Canis lupus familiaris: one gene and its partners. The protein of the gene in region 2 interacts with the protein of the main gene of each other region in a pairwise test. Links are inferred from orthologs where the notes say so. Each region holds a gene or a part of one and is shown on either strand. Other genes may lie near its edges. The genes, in order: NME7, NT5C2 and MOB3B.

Region 1 (3,649 bases), on a different chromosome or scaffold from region 2:
CAGCATCTCCAACATTTTTGGTCTCTCTTCTAAATCAGAACTGAGGAAAAGTCAGGATGACAAATGCAGCTCTGACAAACAATATAGAGAGAAGACTAAGGAGATACCTCTGAAAGGCACCATGCTGCAGTTTCTCTGCATCATAGGGGAGTCCACATGCACATACAGCAGAAGGGAAGAGAGGAGCTGGGGAGGCCAGCCAAAGCTCCTCCTCCATACTATTTTCAATGAAGTAAACTCATTCATTCATTCAACAAGTCTTTGTGGGGCATTCTTTGTGAATAATTTACTGTTTGGGGCATCACAATGATGGTCTTTAGAGAAACAGTTGTGAACAAGACAGACAAGTTTCTATGTCTCACAATTATGTTACTTTTTTGTTGTTTTTGTAACACTCTTCACTTGATCAGTCACTATCAGATATATATTACATCTGTGTATAAAGCTCAAGAATAGACAACATTCATTACAATCTATACAAAAATATTTTTTATATAAAAATATCTTTGTCATCTAGATCAAAGCTCATCATTTGTAAACAGGGAGGAAAGGTTTTTAAAAGGCAAGACTAGATATTAAGTTTTAAATTGTTACTCATCGATTCACTCAGGTAACACAGGTAAGGTCCTTGTAACGTGTAAGGAGATGTGCCAGGTGCCAGAAGACATGCTAACGAATTGAGGCCAAAAGAATGCAAGCATTTTCCAGGTCCTCTCATTCTCCTATGATTAAATCCTCCCATTCTTAATTCACACTGAACTGTGGGCTTCATCCTGCCTTTCCTCTTGCCCATCAGCAAGCTACTTAACATCTCCTCCAACCCTCAATCCTCCCACCTGCAAAGTGGAGCTAATTATAATAGCTCCTTTTTTATTAGGTTGTCACAGGACTCAAATAACCCATACAGATAATTTTAACATTATGCCTGATAGAATGATAGCTAGCCATCACTGAGTGCTTACCATTATTACTATTACTCTACTTCTATTTATCTCGCATATTTCTTCCTCTTCATACTTACTGTTACCATCCTAATTCAGGCTATTTTACTAAATCAAAGTTAAAAAAAAATTTTAACCACCAAACCAGTCAAGCAGAACAATGGGCTCTTCCCACAACATGACATACAACTTTCTGCCTTTGAACCTCTGCTTACACTTATCCCTCTGACCAGCATTTCCTACTCTTGATCTAAGGGGGCAAAATCCAATTCATCTTTCAGGATCCAGCTCAAATACCTTCAGAGCCTTCCTTGCTCTTCCACAAGAAATTACTTTTTTTCTGTTTCCACTGAGATTATGGACTATTTTTCCCCCATAAGCCAGGTTTATCCAATACACCAATACTTCTTATATTCAAACATTCTCAGTTCCCAGTTAAATGCACGTATGAAGAAAGATGCAGGCTTTGGGGCACCTGGGTGGCTCAGTGGTTGAGTATCTGCCTTTGGCTCAGGTTGTGATCCCAAAGTCCTGGGATCAAGTCCCGCATCAGGCTCCTGTGGGGATCCTACTTCTCCCTCTGCCTGTGTCTCTGCCTTTATCTGTGTGTTTCTAATAGATAAATAAGTAAAATCTTAAAAAAAAAAGAAAAAAGATGTGGGTATATAAATTTTTTTCCTTCAGAAAAATAATCATTGCTGAAGACTATGGCATCACTTTGTTATCTGAGTGAATAGCAACTACTGAATCTACTCTTCAAAATCCTAAAAATGTTTTAACACTGAACTGGGTCACTGACTTAGAAAAGTATCTATGCTGTAAAAACACAAGATAGAAACAAGAAATTAGAATTTTGTACCTAGACATATATAACATTTTAAGGATGAAGAAAAGATTTTCTTACTTTTCTTTCCTACTGCCCAGTTGGCGAGCGGTATATTGATCCCCATAATCAATTAGCACCAGTTGTCGAGAAAAGACATTCACTTTGTTGCCTATAAATAAATCTTCCAAGTGAAGATCATCATATTTAGTTCGCTTTAAAAAGGTGCGGTGATTCTTTACATCATGCTAGAACCAAAAACAATAGCACAATAAGACAAATAATTGTCAATAGAGAATGTTAATCTTAGTATAAATTAGAAATGATTCTTAATTTTGCTTTATTAAACATAGCTTACATTGTTTTGTTTTTGCTACAAATACAAATCATAATTTCTTTTATAACCTCCGTATTTCCTAGTTGAATCCAGTAATAACATAAAAACTTATTACAAATTTAATACTTTAAAAATGAATAGAAAATCTGTTTATTGCTAAATTATTTCAGCAAATTAGTGCTTGTGAAATCCCAGAAAAATTCCAAATTTCTGCTTTCTTGCTTACACAAAATCCCAATACCAAAGAGAGCTACCTGCAAAGTGTTTGCTAATAAAGAGACACAAAGAAATAAGTGGGACTCTCTTAACCTGATCTTCTTCAATTAGACTTGTAGAGATAACAGCTTTCAATAATGGTGACATATTTAGGACCATGATCATCTTTATCTATAACCAGTTATTGACTATTGCTTAATCTAAACATGAATAATCTCACTTCAGTTTTTCAATCGAGAAATATTAATTACTACTTGACATGAAAAATAAAGGTACAACGTTATCTTCCTGTATTGTAATTATAATACCAAAAAAAGAATTCCTATTAAAAAAAAAGAAAAAATACATTTTTTTTTCAAAAGCAGCTATATAGAAGGCAATCCTATTCCTCTCCCTATCCCACCTTTACTCCCTTTGCTAACTTTTAAGGAAAAAAAGGTTATTTACCATTTCAACAGATCCATCCCCTGGGTAAAATAAAAGCTCGTAACGTCGAAAAAGTGAAGCATTTGGATCATACCACTCTGCAATGAAAACGAACCTTTCACCATGATTCTGCAAAGAAAGAAGAATTTTAACATTAACATTTAAAATATAAGCACTCTAGTATAAATCATATAAGTTGAAAGCAAGACCTAACCAAATATTTCTAACAAATAAATCTGTTGCTACTTATTATTCTTTCAACAATACATTACTTATCAACATACCCTCAGAAATATTTTCTTCTCATTTCTCATTAAATATCCTTAGATATCTCAGAGATGACTTATGAACTGCTTAATACTTCACAACATCCAATCACCCGGAGTAAATCAACAGTTTTTAGAACATGGCTGCCTGATTTGTCTACTACAATAATTCAGCCTTCTGAAAGCAAATTTACATACATACAGACAATAAACTGTATGAGAAAAGAATTCTGAAAAGCTAGTCCTCAATTCTATGAAGTTTTAACTTTCCTAAATTTAAGAATCCAGCAGTATTAGAATACTGTCATCATTAAAGTTGATATAAATATTATAGTAAACATCCTTTCTCTCCTTAGTAATTTCACATGATAGTATCTTTTTATAGAAATTGTAGGAGAATGTTAGTCTAAGTCCACCAAGAAGCAGACACCATGACAGGATTAAACTTGCAAGAATTCTATTCCTATAGAAGAAAAGGGGGAGGGATCCAGACAGTAAGACAAATCTGACCCGAAGGAAGGAGAGAAAGGAGCCTTCATCCTGGATTGCTGCACAATCTAAGGAAGGTTCAGCAAGACCAGCAGGCAGCTCTAGAGCCAGCGAGCCCTCAAGAGTTCCCTGACTTCCAGGAACCAGACTG
Region 2 (3,649 bases):
AATTTTTCAAAGCACTTTTATATACATACCTCTTCTGAGCAGCTACCTGAGAACTGTATTAAAAAGGAGAAAATAAAAATCTTAGAATTTCAAATAAGTCAAAGCCACTACAATTCTTTTTGGTGAGTTTTAAATTTAGCTTTGTTGGATGCTATATAATTAGAAACCACTTAATTTACCCAAAATGTAACTGCTAACTACATTTATAAGTCAGTTTGGGTCCTAACTGCCTAATAAGTAATTGTTAAGTATCCTTATACAAAGAATCGTTCTTTAATAATGAGGGAACAGGAAAGTATAGTACAGTACATCTGGGGAGACAAGGTATCAACACTAGAAAGAGGCTAAGGGTTCTATGTACTCACCCTCTTATGAAGTTGAATCCATGTGCACAGACCAAAAGATTTCCATATGCATCAACTTTCAAAAGATTTCCATATAGTGTATCAAAAACAAGTCCCCTATGTGAAAATGAAGACATCTGTCAGTAATACAAAAATAATATAGGCAACAGTCTTATGTAGTATTACTAAATCATCATAAACCAACACCACCTTATTCAAGCTTTTATGACAACTCAAGCATGTTCCTAAACAATATAATCCTGGAGTCTGAAGTGAGTAAAATCTTAAAAACTAAACCTAGAGCAACTAAAAAATATTTACTTTGTCCAGATAAATAATCACAACTGTTTTCTGTAAGAAATAAGAGCCTTAAATGAGGTATGAACTATAATTCTTCTTTATACAGTGGTTCCATTCTAAAGGAGTCTTAATTTCCTTGGACAAATGAACTGGCTTATATTTCTAATAGATGCTGTATATGGGACATATATGATGGCATCACAAACATCATCTTTCTTAATCTTAAACCCTCCCTATCAAATCCAAAAATGCAAACTGCCAAGAAAGCTCCCAATGACAAAGTGAAATGTATTAGTACAACATGTAACTGCTCTCCAACAGCAAACAGTAGGAGTGTCTGTGATTATTGCCCATCAGTTTTAATAATCTCTCTTTCCCATAAAGAGATATTCTTCAGTAACAATAAACTAAATTCAATTCCAAGAACAGAAAAGATACAGTGTACATGAAGACCCATGGTAATTTTAGAATAGCAACCAAAAAAAAAAAAAAAAACACAACAACAACAACAACAACCTAGAAACAAACCAAATAACCTTTTTTGGTTCTTTTCTTTGAGGCTGAGGATGGTGAGAGGTGGTTTGGAATTATTAATCTGGGGGATAGAGGAAAGGCTCTTAATTCAAAAAAATCTTGAAAAATTACCTGGTAGGGAATGTAGAATCATAAGCAAAGCTGAGCAGTTCCTGAGGGTAGCCAATAGAAACTAATCTCTCCACAGTAAGCTCAAAGCCAAGAGACTCATACTCCGGGGACTTGTACACTGCACAAAGAGGAGGTTCTCATTATAATAATAGTCAATGAAAATAAAAGGCAAATGAGTGAATTTCTACTCTTTCCTAAACTCCTCTCTCTTCCTAAATGTGCCATTTTCTTCTTTTCCCCCAAACTCCACGTTTTGTACTGCCCCAATCACAGAACTCAACTGTTAGTCTGCGGAAACAGGTTATATTTCCATAGGAGCAAGAGCAATAAGATGAATTATCAGACGTTTCAGAATAATTCTTTCATTTCTTAGGAAACTTAACCTTTTTTTTTCCCTTTACCTGTTCTTTCATGCCCACAATCTAAAGGTAGAAAAAGAAACTAAGATGCACAGCTATGATATTAACCAGGTAGAGAGGTGTATATATGTTGAAGGCTTCACTGATGTGTATAGTTAGTGTAGGAATCCTTCAAAATGACCTTAAAAAAAAAAACAAAAAAACAGTATTTTTGCAATTCCTATTTGGCTTGGTAGTTGCTTTATACTCCTTCAATCAGCACATAATTCTATTTGTCAGGATTAATTTGTTTTCTCATCAGTGCTAGAGTCTGGCTAGAGCCATCAAAATAGCATTAAGTTATTGCTGCAATATCAGCCATAAAAAGACATGCCTGAGACAATCAGGAAAATCTGGATGTGGACTGGGAACTAGATATTAAAGAATTATGACTAGGGGTAGGAGGAGGGAGAATTGGAGGAAGGCGGTCAAAAGGTACAAATTTCCAGTTACAAATAAAAATAAATACTAGGGATGTAACAGACAACATGAGGAATTTAGCTAACACCACTCATTGTATTATATACAGGAACGTTAAAAGGGTAAATCCTTAGAGTTCTCATCACAAGGAGAAAAATTTTTTCATTTATTCTTCTCTTTTCATTTTATTTATGTGAGAAGATGGATGTTAGCTGAAGCTATTATGATGATCATTTCACAATATATGCAAATCAAACCATCTTGCAGTATGCCTTATTTTTATTGTATGTCTTAAACTTATACAGTGATATACATCAGTTATTTCTCAATAAGACTGGAAATACACATTAAAAAAAGAATTAGGACTCATTTTATGAGATGTCATTATGGAAGGATGGGTATATGCAACTGTATGTATAAAATGAGCATGTGTATGTGTGTGTATATACATAGATATCTATATCTATATCTGCCAAAGAAGCCTACTAAGCCTTGTTACAGGTGAAAAAAATGTATTTTAGAATATGGGTATTTCTCTCTACTACTATAGATCTCTGAAATCTTCTATAACAAAAAACTTTTCAGAATAATCATTGCAGTTCAGTATAAAGAAAATGATGTTCCTTTAAATAGGTTTCCTCCAATGCAGTATTTAGGTAAGCATCTTCCCATCAGTGTCTAGGAGTAGATAAGCCATATTAAAGAGAAAAATAAAAAGACCTGCAATCTTGCTCAATGCCAAAAAAAATCCATTTTTATCTCACAATATTATTCTTATTAGATTACTACTGTTCTTCTATCCACAATCTATACAGCCTATGGCTCAAACTGATTTTTCACTGCAATTAGTTTGCCGGCCCAAATTAGTGCTAAATCTTAATGAGTACTATTCAACTTTTCCTTGCCAAAAGAAATCTTTTAGAGTATTTCTGGAACTACATAAAAGAAACCAGTAATACTGGTCACTTCCACAGAAGGGAACTGAGTAGCTAAGAGATGGGGAAGTACACTTTCATGTACTGTCTGTACTTTTACAACTTGTAACATATTAATGTATATATCCATTATTTTTAAATTAAGCTGAAATGTTAAGAAAGCAGGGTGAACTTTCAAAATATTTAATACCATCTGCCATATTTAAAAAGCCTAAAATTGGGGCAGCCCAGGTGGCTCAGTGGTTTAGCGTCGCCTTCAGCCTTGGGCCTAATCCACGAGACCCAGGATTGAGTCCTACGTCAGGCTCCCTGCATGGAACCTGCTTCTCCCTCTGCCTATGTCCACCCCCCGCCCCCCGCCCTCTGTGTCCCTCATGAATAAATGAATAAAATCTTAAAAAAAAAAAAAAAAAGCCTAACATTTTTAAGGTTCTTTAGGAGAAGGAGGTTCTTGAGTCTCGTCCCCTCAGAATAATGCCAAAAGAAGCCATCATTCCCTTTGATGCTAATGCTAACACTAATATTATCAAAATTGGCTACATATTTTCTCTGTTCAATTCCATCCCCATCATCACCCTTTCCCACCAAAACAAACAAACAAAAAAAA
Region 3 (4,418 bases), on a different chromosome or scaffold from region 2:
TAACAATGCTTTTGCATAGTCTCCCTAATAACTCTACCGAGATCATGTCAGTTATTTTAGTAATTTATGGTTGCAGTCTTGCCAAATGTTTACTATGCTAGAAGGAAGAGAATTGGCACTTTGAGTCAATAAAGATTGTCCAATTACATGGGCAGGGTCAGAAGTCAGAACAGTATGCTTTTATCAGGAGCACCTCTAATCAGAAAAAGGAGAATGTTCCCACTGGAAAAAAAAAAAATAGGTTAAGGGCATAAACTGATATCATCATAGAAGAATAAATACTAACAACAAGAAAAATGTTTAGTCTTATTTGTGGTTAAGGAAATACAAAAGAAGACAAGAGGATACCCCCCTCTCATCCTTCAGCAGAAACAAAAAAGGGTAATTATAATACAGAGCATGAGTGGGGTGCAGGATACAGGGGGAAAATATCCTCTTGTATATTGTTAGAGAGCGGGTAAAGTGGCACAACTTTCCTACAGGACAATCTTAAATATGCTTTAAAAAGTGCATTAACTCTTTCAACCTAGCTATACTAGCTCCAGAAATTTATTCAAGGAAATCACTATTCATTGGGGCCCTGTTTATAATATCTCCCTTTCTTTTGCTTTCATTTTTACTTCTCTGTATTTTCTATTTTTTCTACAGTGATTCGGGGAAGGGGAGGTTAATTCTAAAATTAAAGAAACTGTACAAGCTCATCTTCCACTACAATTATCCTGTTTTCCTTACTGGGGTAGACTGGGACAAACACTGCCCTTTCACTTTGCTAATGATGCCTTTGGGCATTTCTTGAGCAACCCAAGTCAGCCTCATTGCTTCTTTCCTGCTGCTTCTGCTGCTAAATTTCAAAGGAATCTTTCCTTAGGCATCATTTTCATAATGAAATGTTTGTAAAGTATCTCCCAGTGCCTCAAAGATTTTGCTTTTTTTTCTTTTGTTCGTCCCACCGATAAAATCCAGAAATCGCCAGAGAAAGTGCTCTGTGTCCACCTTCCTGACTTAGCAGTCTCCTCTGTTTTTCTATTTATTGAATGGAACTCAAATTTCTGTTAAGTCAGGTAAAGGGAAAACTCCTAGAACTGAAGAGCTCCCACTTAAAATGCCCGAGTGGGTTACTCAGGTCACAAGCATTTCCATGGAAGCTGGCTTCCTCCCTCCCCAGGCTTGGGGAAGGGACCAACAGGTAGAGGGTGAAAAGAGTGTGCCTGGGCGATGATTGCGCCTCCATCAGAAAAAGCTGGCAACGCTGGTCTAGTAAGGCTGAGCGTGCATAGGTTCTAACAGGTGCACAGGCTTGGCCTCCCCTCAACAGGCAAAGGGCCTCTCCAGGCACCCCGCGGGGACCCTGCCTTCCCAGGCCGGCTGCTTCGCTTTTGCCCTCCTCTTCAATAATCCACCCCCCCTAAAACAGAAGCACGATGTGGAAGCATGTAATGGTGAAGGAAGGCACAGGAACAGGGCTCCCTATGATCCAGCAGGGGCACCCCCAGGGAACCTCGGGGGCTGCCCCAAACCACTGGTTCGCAAGGACTTGGGACCGTGAGCATCGCCCCCAGCCGCGGCCGCCCCGGGTCCTCCGGGTCTGCCTTCCAAGCGCTGACAGCGGCCCCGGGACTCCGGCTTGCGGCCCCGGCCCACGTCGACATCCCACGTTCAGGCTCGGGGAGCCACCTCCCCGCGGCTTCCAGGCAAAGTCTCGAGGCTCCCCGGGTTACTTCCTTCCGCACCGTCGCCTGTGGAGCAGCCCGCGGAGCTCCGCAGACCCGGGCCTCGGCCTCTGTCCCGCCGCGAGGGCCCTGACGCCGGCTGCGGGGGGCGGGGGGCGGGGGGCGGCGGGCGAGGCCCACGCGGGAGCCGCGGACACCCGGCGCGGCCCGGAGCTCTCCCCTCCCGCCTGCGGACAGCGGCGCGTCTGGGGTCGGCGGTGCGCAGCCGCCCGCCCCCCTCGGCCCCCGCCCGCCCCCCTCGGCCCCCTCGGCCCCCCTCGGCCCCCGCCCGCCCCCCTCGGCCCCCGCCCGGCCCCCGCCCGCCCCCCTCGGCCCCCTCCGCCCCCTCCGCCCCCGCCCGCCCCCCTCCGCCCTCTAGCCTCGGGCCGGGGTGCGGCGGCCCCGCGGGGCTCGGGCTCCCCTGACGGGGGCGGGGGGCGCCCTTCTCTCCGCGAGTCCCGCCGGGTGTTGCGGAGGCAAACAATGGGGGAGCCGCGGGGGAACAAAAGGCCGCTCGTCCCATCCCACGGGCTCGGTGCCGCGGCCCCTGCGGGGAGGCCGGGTGGGAGGCGGCGGGAAGGCGGGAGAAGGAAGGGGACGGCGGGACTCACTTGCCAGGCTCCCGAAGTCCGAGGGGTCCGCGGGCGGCGAGGACGGCCGGCGGGACGCGTGTTTGACAGCTGGGGCCCGCGGGGTCCCCGCCCCCCCTCCGCTGCCCGCCCCGCGCCCCGCGCCCCGCGCCCCGCGCCCCGCGCCCCGCGCCCCGCTCCCGCCCGCGCGCACTTTCGCAAAAAGTTTGTCTCCCGCCGCCCGCCCGCAGCCCGACGGACCCGCGGCAGGCGCCCTGCGCTCGGGACGGCCCCGGGGCCCCGGCTGCGGACCGGCCCCGCCCGGGAAGGGCGCGCGCGGGCAGGGGCGGCCCCGGACGAGCGCGGCCCCGGAGCGCGGCCCCCAGGTGCGCCCGCTCCCGGCCCCCGGCCCCCGGCCCCGCGCGGCGCTCACTCACCGTGGGGCTCGGACCGCCAGCCCGCGGCCCTCCCTGCAGGCTCCTGCGCCGGGCCAGCCGCGGCCGGCTCCCGAGGACCAGGGCGAGCCGGGGCGGGCGACGGCTGCGGATCCGGATGGCGCGCGCGGCGGCCAGGAGCGCGCGGGCGGGCGGGCGGGCGGGCGGGCGCGGGGCTGGAGCTCCGGCCGCCGCCGCTCCCGAGTAGCCCCCGCAGGCGCCGGCGTGCGGCCCTCGCGCGGGGGCGCCGAGCGGGGCGGGGGGGGGGAGCCCCCTGGCGGCCGCCCGCGAAATGGCAGCTCCGTGGGCGAGGCAAGTCAGGTCGCGGGGAGGCTCCACTTGCCTCCCGCAGAGGATGGGGGGCGGGGGGCGGGGGCCGGGGGGGGGGCACCGCGCGGTGCACGCGGGCTCCCAGCCTCGCGGCACGGCAGACCCTCCCACCAGCGCGGAGAGGGAGGTAGCGCATCAGAAGGGGAAATCACCTTCTCCAAGATCTTCCGACACTCTTAGTAAGAGGAGTCACTAGACAGGAGCTTCCTAAGGAAAATAATGCCTTCCACATCTCTTTATTCCTCTATAGCACCTTAACACGTGTTGATGGAGGAGTACCAAATGGCTAAGTATTGCATTTTACGATTCTAACTAGACACTTGAAAGAGGTATTGAAATACACACATGATTTTATTTGTTTGTTTATTTATTTATTTGAGAGAGCTGCACAAGGAGGGGTGAGGGGAAGGGCAGAGGGAGAGGGAGAAGCCGACTCCCCACTGAACCGGCAGCCGGGAGTAGGGGCTTGATCCCAGGATCCTGAGATCATGACCTGATGCTTAACCAACTGAGCCACCCAAGTGCCAGGAGGTGTGGAAATATATTACGTAGAAATAGGGTAGGTGATTAACAGCCTCCTCCATAAAAGTGGCTTTGACACCTACTAAATGAGAACCTCTAAAACCACACACACATGGCTTCTATCAAGTTATTTCTCATATTGTAAGAGATATTTAACAAATAGTCATGGTCAAATGATATCAACACTGGATTAAGTGATGCCATTTAATTCTGTGCCACTTGGGCAATGCAAAGGTATTGGAGATTGTGAGTATGAGACGCAAACATGAGGGGGGACATAGATACAAATATACAGCCATTAATCAATGATTCTATTGATTATCGAGTAATGCAATTTCATTTCCAAACTGCCTCAAACCCTAGTCACTGCTTTTAAAGCTCCTCTTGTCCCTATGGCCTCATGGCAATCAGAACACTCTTCATCATCCAGAACAATCAGGATGGAAGTATCTCTTAATTACCCCAGTTTACCTTTAATTGTCCTTCCCTTTCACTCACCAGTCTCTAATCAGGAAGTCTGTTGTCTGCTTAACAATTCCTATGACAAGATCTTTTCTGTCCTGTCAAGAGAGGAAAAATAAGGTTTCTTGACTCAGAAACTAAAGCAGAACATTGAGATCCAACTTCTGCCCTTGGAGATAGGGCTCATGCTCCAGGGTACAGATGAGCAAGGGCAAGCAGGGTGAACAGGGCATTCAATTCTAATCAATAGGCCTTAATGGAACTGTCTCTGCCTCTCTCCTTGCTTTTCAGCTTTGCCTGTGGGAAAAGAGAACTTTCATTCCATTTCCACCCCTTGAGTGACTTCTTCCCTGGGGAGAAATGGTAAATCTTGTGATTGGGAGGGAGCTATT

What was found.
Region 1: the proteins of NT5C2 (region 2) and NME7 interact in binary tests that used the Homo sapiens proteins (3 or more experiments, as listed by UniProt). The two-hybrid records come from large-scale screens. The link is inferred for Canis lupus familiaris from reciprocal best matches to the Homo sapiens genes NT5C2 and NME7.
Region 3: the proteins of NT5C2 (region 2) and MOB3B interact in binary tests that used the Homo sapiens proteins (3 or more experiments, as listed by UniProt). The two-hybrid records come from large-scale screens. The link is inferred for Canis lupus familiaris from reciprocal best matches to the Homo sapiens genes NT5C2 and MOB3B.

The regions. Positions count from the first base shown.
Region 1 is NC_049228.1:29,179,308-29,182,956, reverse strand, and holds part of NME7 (nucleoside diphosphate kinase 7), read right to left. Parts: intron 2,873-3,649; coding exon 2,765-2,872; intron 2,013-2,764; coding exon 1,846-2,012; intron 1-1,845. UniProt on the Homo sapiens protein: Possesses an intrinsic kinase activity. Displays 3'-5' exonuclease activity with a preference for single-stranded DNA. Does not seem to have nucleoside diphosphate kinase activity.
Region 2 is NC_049249.1:15,734,287-15,737,935, forward strand, and holds part of NT5C2 (cytosolic purine 5'-nucleotidase), read right to left. Parts: intron 1,408-3,649; coding exon 1,290-1,407; intron 462-1,289; coding exon 366-461; intron 54-365; coding exon 30-53; intron 1-29. UniProt on the Homo sapiens protein: Broad specificity cytosolic 5'-nucleotidase that catalyzes the dephosphorylation of 6-hydroxypurine nucleoside 5'-monophosphates.
Region 3 is NC_049232.1:45,882,951-45,887,368, forward strand, and holds the start of MOB3B (MOB kinase activator 3B), read right to left. Parts: upstream 2,844-4,418; 5' UTR 2,716-2,843; intron 2,431-2,715; exon of another isoform or gene 2,321-2,430; intron 1-2,320. UniProt on the Homo sapiens protein: Modulates LATS1 expression in the Hippo signaling pathway which plays a pivotal role in organ size control and tumor suppression by restricting proliferation and promoting apoptosis.